Linked DNA regions of Rattus norvegicus. The protein of the gene in region 2 interacts with the protein of the main gene of each other region in a biochemical or structural test. Links are inferred from orthologs where the notes say so. Each region holds a gene or a part of one and is shown on either strand. Other genes may lie near its edges. The genes, in order: Tnfsf13, Tnfrsf13b and Tnfsf13b.

Region 1 (7,068 bases), about 8.6 Mb from region 2:
TGAACTCAGAGATCTATCTGTTTCTGACTCCCAAGTGCTGGGGTCAAAGGCATGTATCACCATGCCTGGCTTTCTTTCCAGTTTTCAACTACACTAGTTCTAGGGATTTCTTCTTGTGTGTGTTGTGGTGACAGAATTTAGAGTCCTAGGCGTACTAGCTAAGCACTTTACCACTGAGCTGCACGCCCAGCCCTTTCCCCGGTACAGCTCTGGTAATAGCTCTATTAAGACAGATTTCACATTCCATGCAGTCTGCCCGCCTGTGCAACTCTGTGCTCTTAGTCTGCCGTGACTAAAGTACACTCTAAAGTACAAGCCGTTAATCACCACAAAATATGGCTCTCACCTTTAATCCCAGCATTAGGAGGCAGAGGCAGGTGGAGGTCAGTCTCTGTGAGTTAGAGACTAGCTTGGTCAATATAGTGGACAATCAGAACAGCTAAGACTACAGAGAGAGATCCTATCACAAACAAAACCCCACAAGGCCAAGCCTCATAAAGTGGCACACACCCATAATCTCAGCACTTGCAAGGTAGCATAAGGAATCCAAGTTCATCCTCAACTGCACAGCAAGTTTAAGGCTAGCCTGAGCTACGTGAGACTGTGCCAAAAATAATAGTAATAAAAAGAGAAGAAGAAGCCATGTATCCTTTAGCCATCACACCATAGTCCCATCAGGGCTAGCCTTGGGCAATCACCTGCCCACTTGCTGTCTCTATAAACTACTTTTCCAGGCAGTTCCTGTGCTTGGGAGACTATGGCGCATGGTTCTTTCACTTAGCACAGTATGTTTAAGGCTTGTCCACCTGGTGGCAAGAAACTTCTTTATTCCTTTTATAGCAGAGTGAGGCCCAGTAGATAGGACTGCAGTGTTTGCTCATCTGTTCATTTGCTGATGGGCACTAAATGTTACTTTGTTTTGTTTTGTGACCAGCGTTCTCTGTGTATTCTTGGCTCTTCTGGAACTTGCTCTAAGACCAAGCTGGCCTCAGACTCACAGAGATCTGCTTGCCTCTGCCTCCCAAGTGCTGGGATTAGAGGCGTACACCATTGATGCTACGTATATTCCTATTTGTATAGGAAGTTTTAAACTCATAGCCAGTGAGCCTGTGGCCCGTCACTCATTTTTTTTTTAAATTTATTTATTTATTTTTATGTATGAGTACACTGTTGCTGTCTTCAGACACACCAGAAGAGGGCATTGGATCCTATTAAGATGGTTGTGAGCCACCATGTGGTTGCTGGGAATTGAACTCAGAACCTCTGGAAGAACAGTCAGTGCTTTTAACCTCTGAGCCATCTCTCCAGCCCCCGTCACTCATTTTTAATCGACTCAAATGATGTACACACAAACATGCACATGCATCTTATATGTTCAAGACACAAACCATGTTGATGAGATAGATGTGAAAACCCCAGCCTCTCTCTTACAGCACTGCTCTTCTATCCCCTCAGAAGCCCTGAAGTGCCCTGGTCATATACATTAGGTCTCCTCACACAATACCTTCTAGTCACTTCTTGTACCATAATGGCATGGCTCCACCTATACTCTGGGCCACTGATACCCTTCGGGGTAGGTTGTACCTCACAAATATGTAAACTTGATGGATTCTTAGGGAGTGTGGGGGAGTCTGGTAAAGGGCTTCTACTTATCCCTACACATCCCCTATCCAGGTGTGGATGGGACAGTGAGTGGCTGGGAAGAGACCAAAATCAACAGCTCCAGCCCTCTGCGCTATGACCGCCAGATTGGGGAATTTACGGTCATCAGGGCTGGGCTCTACTACCTGTACTGTCAGGTAAGCCCTGGGCTCCATGGGTAGAGCGATGGCTAAGGGGAGGAAGGCTTGGCAAGGAATGGGTGGGAGTGGGAGAACCTGGGTTTCATGAAGGAAGATGCCTGGATTTCGATGAGGGCAGGCAGAGGTCTGGATTTTGCTGGTTTCTCTCTGCTCCAGGTGCACTTTGATGAGGGGAAGGCAGTCTACCTGAAGCTGGACTTGCTGGTGAATGGTGTGCTGGCCCTGCGCTGCCTGGAAGAATTCTCAGCCACAGCAGCGAGCTCTCCTGGGCCCCAGCTCCGTCTGTGCCAGGTGTCTGGGCTGTTGCCTCTGCGGCCAGGGTCTTCCCTTCGGATCCGTACCCTCCCCTGGGCTCATCTTAAGGCTGCCCCCTTCCTTACCTACTTTGGACTCTTTCAAGTTCACTGAGGGGTCCTGCTCTCCCAGGTTCTTTAAACTTTAACCTAACAGCTCCCAGAGCACCACAGCACCTCCCCACCCCACGCCCACTCCTCCACCCTCTAGCTGTTCCTTGCTCCAGTCCTGTCCTCTCTTCCAAGGCAGCCAGGGCTTGATGACATGTTTTCCATTCCACAGACATATTCCCGTTCTTCTGTAACCTCCCACCCCACCACAGCTGCCCGCCTCACGAGCTCCCAAAGCCCCCACGTACCCGACTACCCCGCCCCAACCCTGGGACCCTGTTTTTACTGACTATGTGCATCAGGCATCAAGATAGGCTGGACCTGGTGGCAGGAAGCCAAAGAACCTGGGACTAGGCCAGAAGTTCCCAAATGTGAGGGGAAAGAGATGGAGACAAGCTCCTCCCTGGATCCCTGTGGATTTTGAAAAGATACTATTTTTATTATTATTGTGACAAAATGTTAAATGGATATTAAAGAGAATAAATCATGATTTCTCTTCTTTGGGGTTCAGTGTAACTGAAGGTTGTGGGAAGGGAATCTTAGGCTTTGGGGAATGGGGACCTGCAAGCCTCCAAGCTGCAGTTTTGAATAGAAATCACAAAGATACCAGAAAAAAAAAAACCATGCAAACAACAACAAAACCACCTGGTCCTCTGCACAAGGCGCTGCAGAAGCAGCCTCATTTTCCTAGCAGCGGACTTCCTCCTGCAGGGGAATCCCTGGCTGGGAGGAGCAGGGTCCTTCCTCTTGGCGGCCTCAGGACATTCAGCAGTTGAGCAGGTGCTGGCACGGGCCTGGCTAGGAGATGGAATGGAGCTAGCCCGGGAAGGGGCTCAGAGCCATAGGAAGGGCTCTGGTGGGCCAGCCGTATGGGTGTGGGGAGGAGTGCTGCGCTGACTGAGGGGCTTGGGGCTTTTTTCTTTTCTCTTTGTCCAGAGAACCTTATGTAAGAACTCTTCTTGGGAAACAGGAAGTCCGGCTTGCCAAGTTCAGCACAGGGAGTAGTGCAGGCCTGGTTCCAACACACCCGGCCCAGCCTTAACCCCAGCACCCTGCCAGTTTCTTGTCCTTGGTTCTCCTCCCTGCTGGCCCCTAGCCCCCCTTTTTTTTTCATTTCCAGTCACCCCTAACAAGCCTCCTCAAAGCTGTCATTTGTGCCTCAGGCAGAGAGAGAGTCCACCACACTCACCTTCTAAGGCTCATGCTGCTGAGCTTGTCCCCATTCCCTGCCCCTGGCACCATGCCCCATAACCAACCGACCTTCCCTCCTCCAACTTAGGGGCCGCCCCTGGGCTCCTGAACGCTGACCGCTCCTTCTGGGTGTCACGGCTGCCCTGCCCTTCCTAGATAATTGGCACCAAATTCTCCTGAGGCTTGGGGGGGAGGGGGCCAGGGGTGTCAGAGGGACACTAGCTGGGGATCAGGGGACTAATAGGACCCTAGCTTGATTTCTTCCTATTCTCAAGTTCCTTTTTATTTCTCCCTTGCGTAACTCGCTCTTCCCTTCTGCGCCTTTGCCTGTATTCCCACCCTCCCTGCTACCTCCTGGCCACCTCACTTGCAGCCCACAGCTGTCAGCAGGGTCCCTAGCTCATGCCAGCCTCATCTCCAGGCAACATGGGAGGCTCAGTCAGAGAGCCAGCCCTTTCGGTCACTCTTTGGTTGAGTTGGGGGGCAGTTCTGGGGGCTGTGACTTGTGCTGTCGCACTACTGATCCAACAAGCAGAGTTGCAGAGCCTAAGGCGGGAGGTGAGCCGGCTGCAGCGGAGTGGAGGAGCTTCCCAGAAGCGGGGAGAGCCTCCATGGCAGAGCCTCTGGGAACAGGTGAGTTAAGGGAGATGGGAATCTAGGGGTAAAGGGTGAATGGCAGAGGCTCTCAGAGCCTCTCAACCTGCAAACTTTCAAGTGAGTGCTAGAGGTGGCCCTGGATTGGGAAGTCAAGGGAACAGCCAGCCGTTCCAGGAAAATAAACAGTTAAAGATTAATGCCAAGAGCACCTGAAAGGCAGTCAGTGCCCAGACCAGGGGCCTATGACAGGTTCCTACATTTCAGCCATTCAGGCGTTGAGAAGGGCTGGGAAGGTTGTGTAAGATCCTTAACATCTTAGTCAAACTCTGGCCCTCTTTCATGAGCAGAGTCCTGATGTCCTGGGAGCCTGGAAGGATGGGGCCAAATCTCGGAGAAGGAGAGCAGTACTCACCCAGAAGCACAAGAGTGAGTGAGCCCTGGGGTTTCTGCAGGGTTGGAGGTGAGCCAGGAGCATGAGGAATGACGACCAGAGCTGAGGTGAGGGTGGAGGGTGGACTCCGGGGGCAGGTCAACACTGCTGTTTCCTCCTCCTTTCCTTAGAGAAGCAGTCCGTTCTGCATCTTGTTCCAATTAACATTACCTCCAAGGGTAAGCATTATTTGAAATAACCGCACTGGGAGGGGCACCAACCAGGAACTGTGGGGCTGGGGCCAAGAGAACCCTAGAAATGAGAAGGGAGAGAGCTCATGTGTATGAGGGTGAAGAAATGCTGACCTGCACACTCCTCACCTCTAGCAGACTCTGACATGACAGAGGTGATGTGGCAACCAGCTCTTAGGCGTGGGAGAGGCCTGGAGGCCCAAGGAGACACTGTTCGAGTCCGGGACACTGGAATTTATCTGCTATATAGTCAGGTAATCCCAGACAAGCCCTGAGCGACCAATGTGGACATGGAGACTGGCTTGTCTCTTCTATGTACCCTGTCTGTACTGAGGGTTTCCCTGATCACTCTGCTCATACCAAACCCAGAACAACCCCTCCTTATTGCCTGGCTCCACTACCAGTGATCCTATGGCCCCTAAGGACTGAACCGTGCCGTCCTGGTTTTCTTCAGCATCTCCCTCCTCTGACAGGTCCTGTTTCATGATGTGACTTTCACCATGGGTCAGGTGGTATCTCGGGAAGGCCAAGGGAGAAGGGAGACTCTATTCCGGTGTATCAAAAGTATGCCTTCTGATCCTGACCGTGCCTACAACAGCTGCTACAGTGCAGGTGAGAACTGTGGGGTCTGAAGAGGGTTGATCTGAATGAGCAGAGCAGGTCACATCCACTCAAGCAGAGCTGACTTGGTGTGGGGAATTATACGAGGGAGTTGGGAACTTGGGTGTAGAGACAAAACTGAAGACTGAAGAACAAGATTCCCAGGTCCTTGCAGGGAGAAAAGGCACAAGCCTATGAATGACTAGGTCCGTGCCTATAATCCCATGTTTGAAGCTGAAGTGGGAGTTTTACCCAAAATTCAAGATCAGCCCAGGCTACAGAATGAGGCTGTTTAAAAAATTAAAAAGGAAAGCCAGTGAGACGGCTCACTTAGGAGAGGTGCCTGCTCCATCTCTCACAACTCACTACCTGGGCTTGATGCCACAGAGCAGAAGGAAAACCGACTCTCCTAAGTGGTCTTCTGATCTCCTCCACACATGCACATGTTCCCCAACAAAACACTGAAAACATAAAAATCAAAATGGAGGAGGGGTTGGAGCAGGCAGAATGAAGCATCTGAAATGTTTTTCCCCCCTCAGGTGTCTTTCACTTACATCAAGGGGATATTATCACTGTCAAAATTCCTCGGGCAAACGCAAAACTTAGCCTTTCTCCACATGGAACATTCCTGGGGTTTGTGAAACTATGACTGTGCTATAAAGGTGGGGTTCCCATTCCAAGAACTGGCTAGACAAAGGACAGCAAGTGGTCAAGAACCGTTCTCCTTGGTTTTGACGTCTTGACTGTTGTTCCCCGCTTTGCCTTTCCCGATCCCACTATCTGGGTTCTGATTCCATAGATATTAAAGAAGTAGAATATTTTGTGTCTATCTCCCACATGGCCCCAAATTCTTTTGTTGTGTGTGTTAAAGGGGTTTTGTGCACTGTGCCAAGCCTTATCCACTGGACTGCATCCAGAACAGCACCACCATCTAGAGGCAGTTTGAGGAAAGAACACGGTCTCTGCTAGGGAAAACGTGTCCCTCGGCCACAACTCTTCAAGCCCCCTGCTTCAATGTACAAGAAGCCCGATTTTCACTATCTCACTATTGCGTCCAAATTCTTGTTACTGTCTAGAAAAAAAATGTATTTTAGGTGCCTCGACATCCATTCCATTCATGCTCCCCATTCCCCTAGCAAACTTCCGAGCTGAACATTGTGCTTCACCGCTTTAATCCCAGTACTCGGAGGCCTATTTCTATGTTAGCGGTCAACTTGGTCTAAATAGTGAGTTCCAGGCCATCCAGGGGTTACAGTGGTTGAGACCCTGTTTCAAACAAACAAATAAAAGACTCTACAAGATCGGACTGGTATTCGGGGAGTTTGTATGCACTGGACGCCCTGGCACACTGGTCGTGTCTCACTCTTTAATCAAGCCCTGCTTAAAGTTGAAAAAAAAAATCAAAATACAAAAACGTAACGTCCCGCCTCCGCCTCCCAAGCGCCTAGCCTCAGTCCAGTCCCTGCAGGGTCTCTGACTTCCTGGCCACGCGCTGGGAAGCCCACTGGATCACCCGAAGCTCAGGCCACGGAAGAGCAGGGAGTACCGTACGACTGCGACGTAGAGCGTGAGGCTGGACGCGACACGCAGGCGTAAAAGAGCGAGCAGTGGGACTGCCACACGCGGCAACCTAGGCGACTGTGCGCAGGCTCGGTTCAGCGTAGAGCTCGAGGGCGGGACCGTCCGGTGGCCTGGACGCTCTGAGGTAGGCGGGACTGAGCACGAGCCGGCGCCGCTCGCCGGGTGTGACGCACTAATTGTGCGCCGCCATCGGCGGTGGGCCTGGGGCTCGCGGGAGGGGAAGGAGGAGGAGGGGTGGTGGCGGTGGTGGTGGTGGTGGAGGTGGAGGTAGA
Region 2 (6,832 bases):
CCTTCCCTTCCTTTCTTCTCTTCCTCTCACCTTCCCTTCCTTTCTTCTCTTCCTCTCACCTTCCCTTCCTTTCTCCCCTCTCTCCCTCTCTTCCTTTCTCCCTCCCACCCTCCTTTCCTTCCTTCCACCCTTTTCCCTTTATTCTTTCTCTCACTCTCCCTCCCTCCTTTCCTTCCCTCTTTCCTTCCACTCTCCCTTTCCTTCTCCCACTCTCCCTCCCTCCCTTCTTCCCTTCCTCCTTTCCTTCCTTCCTCCCCTTTTCTCTCCCACCCTCCCTTCCTTCTCTCTCCCCTTTCTCCCTTCTTCACTCTCGCCCTCTTTCCCTCTCTTCCTCCTCTCTTCCGTGCTGGATACTGAACCCAAGACCCTGTGAATGTCAAGCCATATCCCCAACCTCCAGCTCCTAAATTGTCTCTCTGTCTCCCAACCCATACTCTCCACGATGTAGCCCAGGCTGGATCCCTCTACTTTAGCCTCCTGAGCACTAGGATTAAGGGTATGAGCCATTTTGTTTTCCGGTGCTGAGGATAAACCCAGGGCCTCTCATCCATGCTTGACCACTGAGCTGCACTGCAGTAATGAAGTTCTTTTGAGCTACATGGCATATTACTATGAATCGTAGTCATCCTGCTATACAACAGATCCACAGAACTACCTAGCTGAAGCTGGGACCTTCTGACCAACTTATCCCCACCCTCCACAGCCTCTGATGCCTGATTTCCTCCCCAGCCATAAGACCTCTGTCTCACAAAGGAGTGAGGACATGTGGCTTTTGTTTTTCTATGATCAGCTCCTTTTCTTTCTATTTAAACAATTGATTTCAATTTTTAAATTTTTATCCGTATGGTGTCCTGCTTGAATACGTGTCTGTGTATCATACATATGTCTGAGGTCCTTGGACAAGAGGGCATTGGGTCCCCTGGAACCCAAGTTACAGATGTTTGTGAGCCACGTGTGGGTGCCGGGAGTTGAACCTCGGTCCTCTGAAGGGCAGCCTTTGTGCTCATCCCTGCTGGACTGTGATCTCTTCTTCTTTTGTTTGTTGTTTGAGGCAATATTTCTCTGTGTAGCCCAGGCTGTCCTGGGACTAGCGCTGTAGGTCAGTCAAGAGAACTCCGAGATCTGCCAGCTTCTGTCTCTCAAATCCTGGGATTAAAGGCATGTGCCAGCACACCCAGCCCAACTTCCTTTTTTATACACAAAGTTTTCCAGTTCCATCCATATTCATACAAATGTAGGAGTTCCCTCTCTATTGAGAATGAAGAGAATCCCATTGTTTACACACACCACAGTTTCCTTATCTACTCATCCACTGAACACATGCAGATTGACTTCGTATCTGGGCTACTGTGAACAGCACTACAATGAACTTGGGAGGGCAACTGTTGGGCTTTCTTATCCCTGCAGGATTCCGAGACCTGGGAGTATACGGAAATGGAGTTGAAGCCCAGGGTAATCAGGGCTGTGGCACTGATTCGCCCATGTCCCTTATTGGAGGAGTCACTGTGCACTGAGAACGTGCTGTAAGAATGAACCTGTGGTGGCCAGGTGTGGAGCACACCTGAACTCCCAACACTCTGGAGTCTGAGGCAGGGAGATCTTGAGTTCAAGCCAGCCTTGCCCAGCTTAGTGACACCTGTGCCAAGAGAACTAAAAACCAGACAAAGAACAATCAAGTGACTGTGAGAACTCGTGTCATTTTCACAATGACTCAAGGACCCACTTTCCAGATGAGGGCATGAAGGTACGAGTCACTTTATACCTAAGTCCTTACCAAGGCATCGGACCCAGAAGCAAGATCCAAATCTGCAGGGACTGCACAGAACACTGGTACCTAATGTCCTGGGGGCAGTCACAGATGGCTTCCTGGGGGAGGTGACGCTTCAACTGAGCATTGAAGAAGGGACAGCATGAACTGACCAGGCAGAAACAAAGAATGTAATAGTCCAAGAGGAGGGAAGGCTATGCAGGGAGCACAAGAGCTGTGTGGGCATCCTAGCCTGGAGAGCGGACAGTGGATAGGAACCAGGCCTAGGAGTTGGGCAGGGAAGATCTAGAATTATCCAAGCCCTGTCATAACACAACCGGACTAAGCCCCCACTGCTAAGCTAACGGGACAGGTCGCTCACCTGTACTCCCTGGACTAAGGCGCAGGCGCAGGCGCAGGTCAACAGGGCGGCTTATTTACATCCCCAGGTCGAAGGGGGAAAACCCAGGAAGTGTGGCCTAGGCCTAACAAAATCTCAGGCTAATAATAAACGCCCTGAGTAATGAGTGGTGTGGGCCAGGGCAGGCAGGAGGCTGGCGCTGTTGGCACAGGAGCGTGGTGAGTAGCCAGCCGTGGTGGGTGAGGGCCAAGAGGGTGCTCCGGGGGCTGGGGATCCAGCAGTGCCACCGCAGGCACAAGATAAGGCTACTCAGGTTTCGGACAGCCTCAGTCCTGCACACCGGAGAAGCCTCCAGGGGTCAGGTCTTGCCTTCCAGGGGGAGTGGGGTCAGGCAAACAGGCAAGAACCTTTGTTTTCTATCCATGTGCTCCAGACTTTCTCCTTGTGCCCCCAGATTATTTTGAAGTGAATCTGGTAGATTTTAGATGCCTCGGGAGTCAGCATTTAGAACTCCGCCCTCACTTAGCTGTCGTGAATTTCTAAGAACTCTTAATATCACAAAGCGCCAACGAGCATAGGTGTTGAGCAAGAAGTGCCGACGGTGTGCGTCCTCGGTGGACAGATTCAAATCAGTCCTTCGTGGCCCACAGGAGAAAATGGGTTCTGTATTTCCACCTCTACCTGTTCCAATCTGCCTTCTTGTTTTTCTTGCTGATTTTCGTTGATGAATCAGGGCCGCTTATCCTATAGTGTGCCTGGGGTGATTTAGAGAGTTCCCTCCAAGGCGGAGAGGTTCCTCATCAGGACCCTTGCTCACAGCGGCTCCACCTCTCCCCATACCCAAGCTGGCCTCAGGCAGGCCTTCGCTAGGATTTCCATCTCTGTCCAGCAACCATGTCTGCCAAGGATGCAATTAAGTTTCACAGAGAATGCAGAGTCAGTGATCAGGAGCCACCTTGACCCAAGAGGAAATGTCAGAGGGCCTGGGACCAGGAATTAGGAATCAGGCAGAACGGACCGGATTCCATAGCAGCTTCCTAGTGCTGCCGGGAGAGCTGGGACAGGTGGAGAGATCAAGTTACCATTTGTTCGTAGTTTGTACACTGCCCCTTGATCTCGGAAAAGTCTCTTCTACAAAATGGACCCCAAATCCACAAACCTGCTTTCAACCCTTCAGACTCTCTTGAAGAGTCACAAGCAAAAGTTCTGGGAAGTTAAAACTAAACAATAACAACAAAAGAATCCTTCGACTAATTTTAATATTTCAAATAATTTAAAATTTAAAATAATTATTTAAATATTTATTATATTTGTACTATCGTGAGATAGGCGTACATTCTTTCTGTTCATAGTTTTCTCCCTAACAATAAAAGCTAACAATAAAACCTCTCTGCCTTGGAGGAAACTCTCTAAATTACCCCAGGCACATTATAGGATAAGCAGCCCTGCTTTATCAGCAATAATCACCAAGAAAAATAAGAAGGCAGATGGGGACAGGTAGAGATGGGAATATAGAACCATGGTGGACACGGTTGCTGGACAGAGAGGAAATTAAAAATAGAAAAGTGCTGGCCAGGTGTAGTGGTGCACACCTTTAATTCTAGCACTTGTGAGGCAGAGGCAAGCAGATCCCTGGGAGTTTGAGACCAGCTTGGTTTACATAATGAGTTTTAGAAAAGCCAGGGCTACATAGTGAGAGCCTGCTTCAAAAACATCATGATGATGATGATGATGATGATGATGATGATGATGGTGGTGGTGGTGGTGGTGGTGATGGTGATGGTGATGATGGTGATGGTGATGGTGATGGTGATGGTGATAATGATAATGAGATGATGGTGATGATGACGATGATGATGATGATCCATTAAAATGAAAGTAACCACCTTAATATATTTCACATAACAATTATATTTTACTCAAATAGAAAAATGCTTTATTTAAAAAAAGAAAAAGCCAGAAGTATTTGGATTCATAGCAAAAAGCTGTGGTTTGGGCCTTGTGTTCTTAAAACTGTCTTGAGTGTTTGGTTCTACAGCAGTACAGGCCAGCTCGCTCACACCGGTACCTGACTGGTACCGAAAACTGAGCCTTTCCTTCCTCTTTCAAGGTATTTACAGTAGGAGCCAAACGTGTCCTGTGTCCAGATTTATTTTTGCTTTTTGTTTCCTTGGCTTGGTTCTTCAAGAAGACAAGGTTTCTCTGTGTAGCCGTGGCTGTTCTGAAACTCTCTGTAGACAGACCAGCCTTGAAATCAGAGCTCCTCCTGCCTCTGCCTCCCAAGTGCTGGGATGAAAGGCGTGGGCCACCCTCGCCTCCCAGCCTGTGTCCAGTTTTTAAAAGGTGCACGAATTCAAAGTTGCCTTCCTCGGTGCCTGGACTAAGGGGTAAGGAATCCATCAGTCTGGGGCTTGGAAGAGAAGCGCCAGTTGATGAGCTCCTGCTTTGCACAGGATAAGAAGTGACCTTACAGTCAGTCCTGCTAAGGAGCCTGAGCACCACCTTGCAGACACGACAGGTCTTCCTGTGTGGGGCGAGCTGCTGTCTTGACTTTTAAAAAGCGGGTTACAAACTAATCTACCTTATCAGTCTTCCATGAAGCAGAGCCTGCTGTCTAGCCAAGCATGTCAGGGGCCTCTAGAAATTGTAGGACCCGCCGACTCTTGGGTTTCAGGGTACGCGGAAACCTCTGTGTTCATCTGAGCCCAGTGCGCCTGTCTAGGCTACAAGAGGAATTTCCTGCCATCCACCAAAGGAGCTGCCTCAGTTGCTGTCACCCTCGGGGGTCTCCTGCCCCTCCTAGGGGCTGGGCAGTGCTTCTGGCCTTTTCATGGATCTAGCTGGTGGGTAAGAAAGAAGGGTAGACACAGCTTCTTCCGGTCAGTCTCGAGGTCTGACGCAAGTGGCTGTGGTGGGTCATGGAGCCTCTCTCCAGTTGGCCTGCCTATCTCACTCACTCCAATTTATAAAGGATTTCCGTTTTTAGTATCAACACAATTTTGTAGCTTTCCCCACAACCTAATTTTAGGATGTTTCTAATATCAGAAGAAACCTTATTAATCTTTCTCTCTCCTGCCTCCAGCCGCAGACTACAGCTCTCCTATCTCTAGAGGTTTGAGGGTCTTGGATACTTTGTATCATCAGCCTCAATCTCTGTGTGTGCTGTGATTCTGTGTTCCCTGTTTCTTCACGTGTTCTCACAGGTTACCTATGCTGTAGCGTGGCCAGTACTGCATGTTCACAACTAAGTGATATCGCATTTTAGGGACAGACTGTACTGTGTTTATCTTTTGAGCAGTATGCTTTCATTCTTTTGGCTAGACAGCTACCTAGGTGTGGAACGACCGGCTGCCACAGTGACTTGGTTGAATTTTTAAATAATGGTCACTTGACAAAGTGGTCACAACATTGCCTAATCCCATTTGATGCACAGAGTCCTCACTGTCTGTCCCTATCCCCTGTCTAAGCACTGTAGCAGTCCCAGCAGGGGATGGTTTGAGTTTCTTTGCCCAGTGCTGAGCTGGGCACCTTTCTCTGTGCCTGTTGTTCATCCATGCATAATTTTGGAGAAATGTCTATTCAACTCTTTAGCACAATTTTTAGTTTTAAAGACTTTTAAGTCTCTGATCATTTTATTTTATTTTATTTTTATTTATTTGTTTTCTTATTTATTGTTTTTTTGTTTTGTTTTGGTTTGGTTTTTGAGACAGGGTTTCTCTGTGTAACAGTTTTGCCTATCCTGGAACTCCCTTTGTAGATCAGGCTGACCTCGAACTCAGAGAGTTGCACCTGCCTCTGCATCTGAGTGCTGGGATTAACGGGATGCTCACCACGTCCAGCTGGCTCTTTAGATTATTTTTTAAAAATGGTAGCATAGGGGGCTGGGGATTTAGCTCAGTGGTAGAGCGCTTACCTAGGAAGTGCAAGGCCCTGGGTTCGGTCCCCAGCTCCGAAAAAAAGAACCAAAAAAAAAAAAAAAAATGGTAGCATAGAAAGACTTAACACGTGTCCTTTGCACGTGTCTATCCAGCATTCCCTTCAACACTGATATCACATCTTAAATGTATGGTGCCCTGATTTAAATGATATCCGCTATTCATTGAAAAGACTGGTTTTACCCTGCTGAATGCTCCTGGTGTGCCTGTAAGGAAACCATCTGCTCTGGTCGGACCCCTGCCTATGCTGGCACCACACTGCAGACTGCGGCAGCTCTGACTGTTTCAGAACCAGGAAGTGTGAGTCCCCAGCTTCACCCTTCTTTTAAAGATTATTCACGGCTGGGGATTTAGCTCAGTGGTAGAGCCCTTACCTAGGAAGCACAAGGCCCTGGGTTCGGTCCCCAGCTCCGAAAAAAAAAAAAAAAGATTATTCACAGTTCCTTGCAATAAATTCCACTGGAATTTTTAGGATAGCCTTTCCGATTTACGTTTTTTTAAAAAAGTCAATAAGATTCTGTTATAAATTGTATGACTGCTAGATTGCGTTGGGCCATATTGACTTCTTAAGTCTTCTAGTCTATGAGCACAGGGTATCTTTTGACTTATTTAGGTAATTTCTTTCCACAATATCCTATAGGTTTTTTGGCATACACTTCTTTCACTTCATTGGCTAACTTGACTAAGTATTTTATTTCTTTTTATGTCACTATAAATTAAATTGTTTCTTAATTTTCTTAAGGATTGTTCTTTGTAAGTCTATGAGAATTCAATGGCTTTTGGTTGCTA
Region 3 (6,873 bases), on a different chromosome or scaffold from region 2:
AACCAAAGAGTCATAAATGTGAAGGAGCTGTTTTGGTGTGAACTCTGCAGTGGTTATGCCAACAATGGTGCCTGCCAGCCAGAGGGAGGCTCCCTGGCAACCATTTTTTTTTAAACAGTAGCCATTGATACCCAGTGACACCACTCCCTGAATCAACATCGGATGCTTATTCTAAAATGACCTGAACTCAGATTGCCTGGGCTTTAACTTAAGGAGCTTGACCATGAAGTTCTTTCCCTAATCGAGTAGAAAAGATGAAGGGTGTCCTTTAGCCCGGCTAGATAACTCCCTCTGAATAAACTATACAGAGACCCAAGAGGAAGGTGCTGTGTCTTGGTCTCACACTCCTTCTAGTCATTTAATTTCTGTACGTCATTTGGTAATAAAACATGACTGAGATATGTGCTTGATTTTGAAGCAGTGTTTTACTATGGAGCCCAGGCTAACATTGAACTCACAATCCTCCTATCTCGGCCTATCATGTGGTGGAATTCTAATCCTACCATTAAGTCTCATGAGTGAGTCTTAATGTCTTAGTCTCTGAGTGGAGGTCCCTATTACTACCAGTAGTCATTGCCTGTGATGCTGGACTGAAGCTCAGTCACCCAAATATCGTTTGATGTCAGACCTAAAGAAAAGTCACGGGGCTGGAGAGATGGCTCAGTGGTTAAGAGCACTGACTGCTCTTCCCGAGGTCCTGAGTTCAAATCCCAGCAACCACATGGTGGCTTACAACCATCTGTAATGAAATCTGATGCCCTCTTCTGGTGTATCTGAAGACAGCTACAGTGTACTCATAGATAATAAATAAATAAAATATTAAAAATTTAAAAAAAAAAGAAAAGTCACCCACATACTTAATATCCTATTTTCACTTTGGAGATTAGAGAACAGCTCGTTTGGGGGGTAAAGATTGCAGCCACTGGCTTACAAAGTTCTTTAGAACTCACATAACGAAAGAAAGGAAAGCCTGCAGTCCCAATGAAGAAGACTCCTAGCATCACTCGGGGATGAGTTGGGAAATGACAATCCAACAGCATTTCTTTTTGACACTTTGCAAAAGGGAAGATGTGTCTTGGTGGGGACCCCCTGCAGATATTACTGTGACAATCATAAAAATACCAATTTTAGCACTGAGTACCACAGCAAGAATCCTCCCTCTGTGCTGTGGTGGTGGTGCATACCCGTAATCCCAGCACTTAGGAGGCAGAGGCAGGTGGGGTGGTCTCTGAGTTCTAGGCCAGCCTGGTCTATGGAGAGAGTTCCAGAACATCGAGGGATATGCAAAGAAACCATGTCTTGCAAAAGAAAAGAAAAGAAAAGAAAAAGAAAGAAGGAAAGAAAGAAAGAAAGAAAGAAAGAAAGAAAGAAAGAAAGAAAGAAAGAAAGGAAGGAAGGAAGAAAGGAAGAAAGAAAGAAAGGAAGAAAGAAACTGATCTAATTCTGTAATTGACATAGGGAAAGCCAGGCACAGAAGCAGGATGGGTGGCTGGGAAGCCTCCCTCTGGAGTTCTTGCAGCTGTGCATCCTTGTTTCTGAGATTTTCTTCTTAAGCTTAGGAGGGAAGGCAGCATAAGGCTAAACCCCAGCAGCCTGAAGTTTATACAGTGACTAAGCTAAATCCTCAATGGCCTATACTGAAAGATAAATGGATGTTGAGGTACCAGGCCCCCAACCAGCCTTCCAGACCAGGAAAGACTAAAATGAATGAAACAGTGTCTGCATGTCACCAAGCCCAAGCACAGACTGAAGACATTCTGTGTCCATAGCTGTGAAATGAGTGCCATCAATGTGGAGATCCTACATCAGCTCCTAGCACAGGTCACGGTGTGTGCGTGTGTGCATGTGTGTGCACACGTGTGTGTGTGTGCATGTGTGTGTGCGTGTGTGCATATGTATGTGCACACATGTGTATGTGCGTTGTGTGTGTGCATGTATGTGCATGTGTGTATGTGCGTATGTGCGTATGTGCGTATGTGTGTGTGTGCGTGTATGTGTGTGTGTGTGTGTGTGTGAGAGAGAGAGAGAGAGAGAGAGAGAGAGAGAGAGAGAGAGATCTGAGCCTAACAGCTCTCTGACACCGAGTCTCAAAGGCAAAGAGGAAGCCATGCTTCCCTGTAATCCACCCCACATTTAAAGAGTCCCCAGTGTGGCCTTAAATAGATCTCTACCACGTTCTCTTCGTTGTCATGTCAAGATGAGAGCAGAGAACTTCGGGTGGAGTTCACTCCGCTTTATGACACTCCATTTCGTCTTCCACCGGGGAGCTGTTAGCTTCCTTGTCCTGCAGCCAAATGCAGTTCATGCTCGAGCACTGGGCTTATCTGACTTGCACATTAATTATCCTTTATTACACCACTAGGCCTTCAGTGTCCCCTTTCCTCTTCCTTAGAAACCATGTGGCTCCAAGTAGACAGTTCTTAAGGGCATGCCGAAGGGAAAGCACCTTCGATAAACTTGTCTGGAGTAAGCCAGTCTGAATCTCAAGCTGCTCCCAGCCGTCGTGTCAGAGGCCTCATATCTCCCACAAACAGGACTATATTGAGATAGAATGAAAAATCTTACAAAAACTGAAAGTGAAATGCGGAAGACAGATTGAGCAATCAATGGAAGGCCAGAGCCAGAGAACCTACTTCAGGGTAGCAAAAGATGCAGAAGAGAGAAAGTCAGGAGAGTGCCATGCTCTGAGGGCAGCCTCCTGAGACACAGATGACAGGAAATGACCTACCCCCATGGTCACTTACTCCAAAGGCCCAGACCTTCAAAGTGCTCCTCTTGGAATGGATAAGTCTGCAAAGAACCTGCCACCACCGCGCCTCTGTTTTTGCCCTGAGAAAGGAGAAGATATGAAAGTGGGATATGTTCCCATCACTCCGCAGAAGGAGGGTGCCTGGGTTGGGATCTGCAGGGACAGACGGCTGCTGGCTGCTACCCTCCTGCTGGCTCTGTTGTCCAGCAGTTTCACAGCGATGTCCTTGTACCAGTTGGCTGTCCTGCAAGCAGACCTGATGAGCCTGCGCATGGAGCTGCAGAGCTACCGAAGTTCAGCGACACCCGCCGCCCCGGGGGCTCCAGGGTTGTCCGCGGGAGTCAAAGTGAGTTCACTCCCCCGCTCTGCCTGTGCAGGAGCACCAGGTATGACACTCTGCTGCTGTCCAGTAACTGGTTGTCTCTATTCCCAGCTCCCAACACCCGCAGCTCCTGGACCCCACAACTCCAGCCGAGGCCAAAGGAACAGACGCGCTTTCCAGGGACCGGAGGAAACAGGTATGACTGGGGCACAGCAGTTAGGAGCTGGGGCGGTGCTGTGCACACCTGCACCCGCCCGGCGGCGGCGGTGAGCAAAGCACTTTGTGTGGCTTTGTAGCAAATGCAATAGGCTGCGTGGCGTGCCTTCCCCTACACTGAGCAGGGCATGTGGACAGGAGGATAGGGTGCACGTATCCCTCACAGTGATGGTGTGCTCAAGAACTTAGCAGCAGAGTTCTTCCTGTCACCGCAGAGTCATGTGACCACCTGGATCTTGGTTAAGAAGCCATTCCCTAGCATTTTTCAGATTTCCCTTGTTCTAGCAAAGTTGAGGTAGGACAAACCCTGCATTATGAGGGTTTACTAATTTTTTTCTTAACACATACACGCGCACACTCACACGGTGGGGGCAGGTGCAAACCACACAGAAATGGCAAAGACTGTAATGTACCCTTGCCACATGCAACATAATTCCCGCGTAATCATTCTGCTGTGGCTTTGGTGATTTCTGTCCATTCTCTAGCGTTTTGCAGAGTTGGGAGCTACTAAAAATGAACTTTTCTTCTTACTTCATGGGGGAAAAAGAAGCAATACTTGTCTGTTAGCAATACGATTTAACACATCCCTGCTGTTGTCTGCTTTTTTATTCTTATAAAAAATTTACCCGATAATCCGAGTTAAAAATACCTAAAAATAAGTTAAAATAATTTCAACTGAGTTAAAATTAACTTTAAGTTATTAAGTGACTTAAAAATAAACAACAAAAATTATTGAGTTCTAAGTTACATGCTAAAAGAGTGCGTGGAGTTATTACATGCACTGCAGAACTAAACATTTTGCACAAATTTGAAATTTACTGTATTCAGTGTGAGTGACCTTCTATCTTTTTTTGCTGAAATGATTTTAGCATATATAGTGCGATGTATACAATACTAGCACACATGCCACAATGAGGGAATAATAGCACACAGTTACAGAGCATCACATGCTATATATTACGGTGTATGTAATAATAGCTCATAATCACAGTACATATAACTGTATAAGCACTATACCCTGCTTTATTCTGTTTTTTATTTTACAACAAGTATCTCACAGACTTCTTAGTAATTCCCTTGGTCTAATCTACTATTTGTCTTTTAAATAATTATTTTATTGTTACTGTGATTGATACAAGATACACACAAATTTTTTGTGTATCTCTTGTTTCTGAGGAATTATGCATTCGATAGAACCATAGTTTATTATTCGACTTTCTTACTCTGAACTCTTTGGGTCACAGGTTTCTATGTACTCATTAGCATTCCGTCCTTATACCTTCATTTTGATAGTTTTATAGCTTCGCCTTGCTTCTCAAGTTTAAGTGTGAACCCCATTCTCTAATTGTAAATATTTTTCACGTGTTCTTATTTTACTTTCAATTTTATGTTTTTTTTAAGTTTTGTCGATTGGCTGGCTATCTAGCCTATGTTTTTTTTTTTTTTTTTTTTTTTTTTACAATTTGACGTTGATGTAAATACTTGCACTGCGTCTTGTATTTTCTTCAAACCTATAGAGAGGTGTGGTGTGTTTATTAAAGAGATTCTTGTTTCCGCTGGTTTAAGTTAAAGCCCCTGGCTCCCTAAGTAGCAAGCTACGATCCCCTTTACTTGCCTCTTGTTTTGACTAAGTGTCCCTTTGCTCCTAACCTATTAATCCTGTGTCTCTTATTGTGGTAAAGCCTCTCACACTGGTATAACTTCCTCCTTTCTCCATCCCGCTTCAGGCTGTTGTCTCAAACAAAAGCATGAAAGTGTTCTCCAGAATGCTTGTGCTGGTGAACTTGGGGCATCAAGTTCTTTATACGCGACTGAATTTATGTGAGATAGTTTTATCGCCAGCTTCTTCCTCTACCCTTCTGCTTCATATGGACTAAGTAGTTTTACATTTTAGTGGACATCAATACACAGTCAGGCAGGGTGCCACAGTGATCTTAAGTCATGTCTCCTACACTTCCAGGCTTCCTAAAGACTGGTTTCAAAAATAACTTTGCCATTCTAAAGAGGACATAGACTCATTTTAAAAGGTTTAAGAGTAAAGAATAGGAGAGAATTATGGTGTATGTCTTTAATGCCAGCACGTGGGAGGTAGAGTCAGGCAGAACTTTGTGAGTTCAACACCCAGCCTGATCTATATGGAAAGTTCTGGACCAACAGGGCTACATAGGAAGAAAAAGGAGAGGGGGAGTGGGGGAGGGGGGGAGAGAGAGAGAGAGAGAGAGAGAGAGAGAGAGAGAGACTAGGTTAAATATCCTATAATGATATATTTTAAATAATTTTCACATTTGCATATTTTATAGGTTTGTGATTTTGTGCATCCAAATATTTCAGGCTGACGAAACTGGAAGAGGAAAATTAATTAATAATTTGTAAAATTTAAAGAATAATGTACTGTCAATATATGATACACATATTTTGTTTTTTCTTCATTTATATTTCCCCAATACTCATAAATCCAAGATAAGAAAGTTGCAGATCTGAGTCTCAAGGAAGGGAAATGTCTCCTGTTCCTGGACAATTAAAGTATCGACTCTTGTTTCCTATACTCTCCTTCTGAATTAGGGAAACGTACTTTATCAGTGACCACTGTGATTATCTACTAATCCACAAAAGTTATCTGAAACACAAGGATTTTCTATTGGTTTACTGGAGTCTTATTTTTTTATTGATAAAAGCGTGTTTATTTTTGTAAATTTTGTTACACCTGGTTGTTCTGACTGTTTTCTTGGACTTGAACTAACCTTGGTGTGTTCCTTTTACTTTCACAAGTGTCCGCTGAGGCTTTTACTGGGAACTGCTTACATCTGTTTCTGAGCTGTGGGTATCTCCATTCTCTCTCTTCTGACAGCAGTAGAAGAGAAAGGCAGACCCACACAAGTCCTCTGAGTCCTCTGGGGATAGAGTACTTTTACTTAATTTTAAAACAGCATTTTGGCATACTTTTTTAAGTTATTTTGAATTTGAATTATATTTTATTAAGCTTAGTGCATTTTATAAGGTCATTTTATTGCAATACGATAAACAGAAATGTGGGGAAATCCAGGATTAAACAATTGCCAAATAGCTTATCATAACCAACAATTCACTCTTAATCCTTTAAATGTGTTTGGAAAGATTCTTAATAATAATAAGAGAAAAACCTAAAGCAGCATAATCTGAAAATATTACATAATCCAGTTTCCTTAAAACTGCCCTCACATTGGCCTGTGCTTTGACCCTTCACAAGCTATGATTTTATCCGTTTCACAGTCCACATAAGAATATCTTTAGAGCCTACGAAGGTGACTTCTTTCAAACAGCTTATGGGCAAACGAAATTAGCCTGTCATCCCAGCTACTCTGGAGCTAAGGAAGGAGGATCACATGATGAGTTCAGTCCCTGCCTGAGGCAGCCGAGTGAATCCTGCCTCAAATCAAAATAAAACAAGGAAAGAGGAGGCAGCTCAGTGGTCCAGCTTCTGCCTCGCATGCACGGGACCGGAGGAGGCAGCTCATTGGTCCAGCTTCTGCCTTGCATGCACGGGACCCCAGGATCAAACTTCAGCATTTCCTCACTTGTCTGTCTACAGGGAAAGTTGAAATAACTG

The links.
Region 1: the proteins of Tnfrsf13b (region 2) and Tnfsf13 form a complex in vitro, tested with the Homo sapiens proteins (2 studies listed by BioGRID and IntAct). The link is inferred for Rattus norvegicus from reciprocal best matches to the Homo sapiens genes TNFRSF13B and TNFSF13.
Region 3: the proteins of Tnfrsf13b (region 2) and Tnfsf13b form a complex in vitro, tested with the Homo sapiens proteins (3 studies listed by BioGRID and IntAct, with this or other methods). The link is inferred for Rattus norvegicus from reciprocal best matches to the Homo sapiens genes TNFRSF13B and TNFSF13B.

What each region holds. Positions count from the first base shown.
Region 1 is NC_086028.1:54,898,253-54,905,320, reverse strand, and holds Tnfsf13 (tumor necrosis factor ligand superfamily member 13), read left to right. Parts: upstream 1-3,505; 5' UTR 3,506-3,799; coding exon 3,800-4,030; exon of another isoform or gene 4,031-4,341; coding exon 4,342-4,420; exon of another isoform or gene 4,421-4,555; coding exon 4,556-4,603; coding exon of another isoform or gene 4,604-4,676; intron 4,677-4,750; coding exon of another isoform or gene 4,751-4,753; coding exon 4,754-4,869; intron 4,870-5,088; coding exon 5,089-5,227; intron 5,228-5,584; exon of another isoform or gene 5,585-5,754; coding exon 5,755-5,864; 3' UTR 5,865-6,086; coding exon of another isoform or gene 6,087-6,184; 3' UTR 6,185-6,516; downstream 6,517-7,068. Other genes in the region: Tnfsf12 (tumor necrosis factor ligand superfamily member 12), read left to right, coding at 1,675-1,799, 1,959-2,210; uncharacterized protein Eif4a1l, read right to left, coding at 4,592-4,676. UniProt on the Homo sapiens protein: Cytokine that binds to TNFRSF13B/TACI and to TNFRSF17/BCMA. Plays a role in the regulation of tumor cell growth. May be involved in monocyte/macrophage-mediated immunological processes.
Region 2 is NC_086028.1:46,299,063-46,305,894, forward strand, and holds the start of Tnfrsf13b (tumor necrosis factor receptor superfamily member 13B), read left to right. Parts: upstream 1-2,273; 5' UTR 2,274-2,326; intron 2,327-6,832. UniProt on the Homo sapiens protein: Receptor for TNFSF13/APRIL and TNFSF13B/TALL1/BAFF/BLYS that binds both ligands with similar high affinity. Mediates calcineurin-dependent activation of NF-AT, as well as activation of NF-kappa-B and AP-1.
Region 3 is NC_086034.1:86,190,219-86,197,091, reverse strand, and holds the start of Tnfsf13b (tumor necrosis factor ligand superfamily member 13B), read left to right. Parts: upstream 1-2,592; 5' UTR 2,593-2,732; coding exon 2,733-3,095; intron 3,096-3,182; coding exon 3,183-3,267; intron 3,268-6,873. UniProt on the Homo sapiens protein: Cytokine that binds to TNFRSF13B/TACI and TNFRSF17/BCMA. TNFSF13/APRIL binds to the same 2 receptors. Together, they form a 2 ligands -2 receptors pathway involved in the stimulation of B- and T-cell function and the regulation of humoral immunity.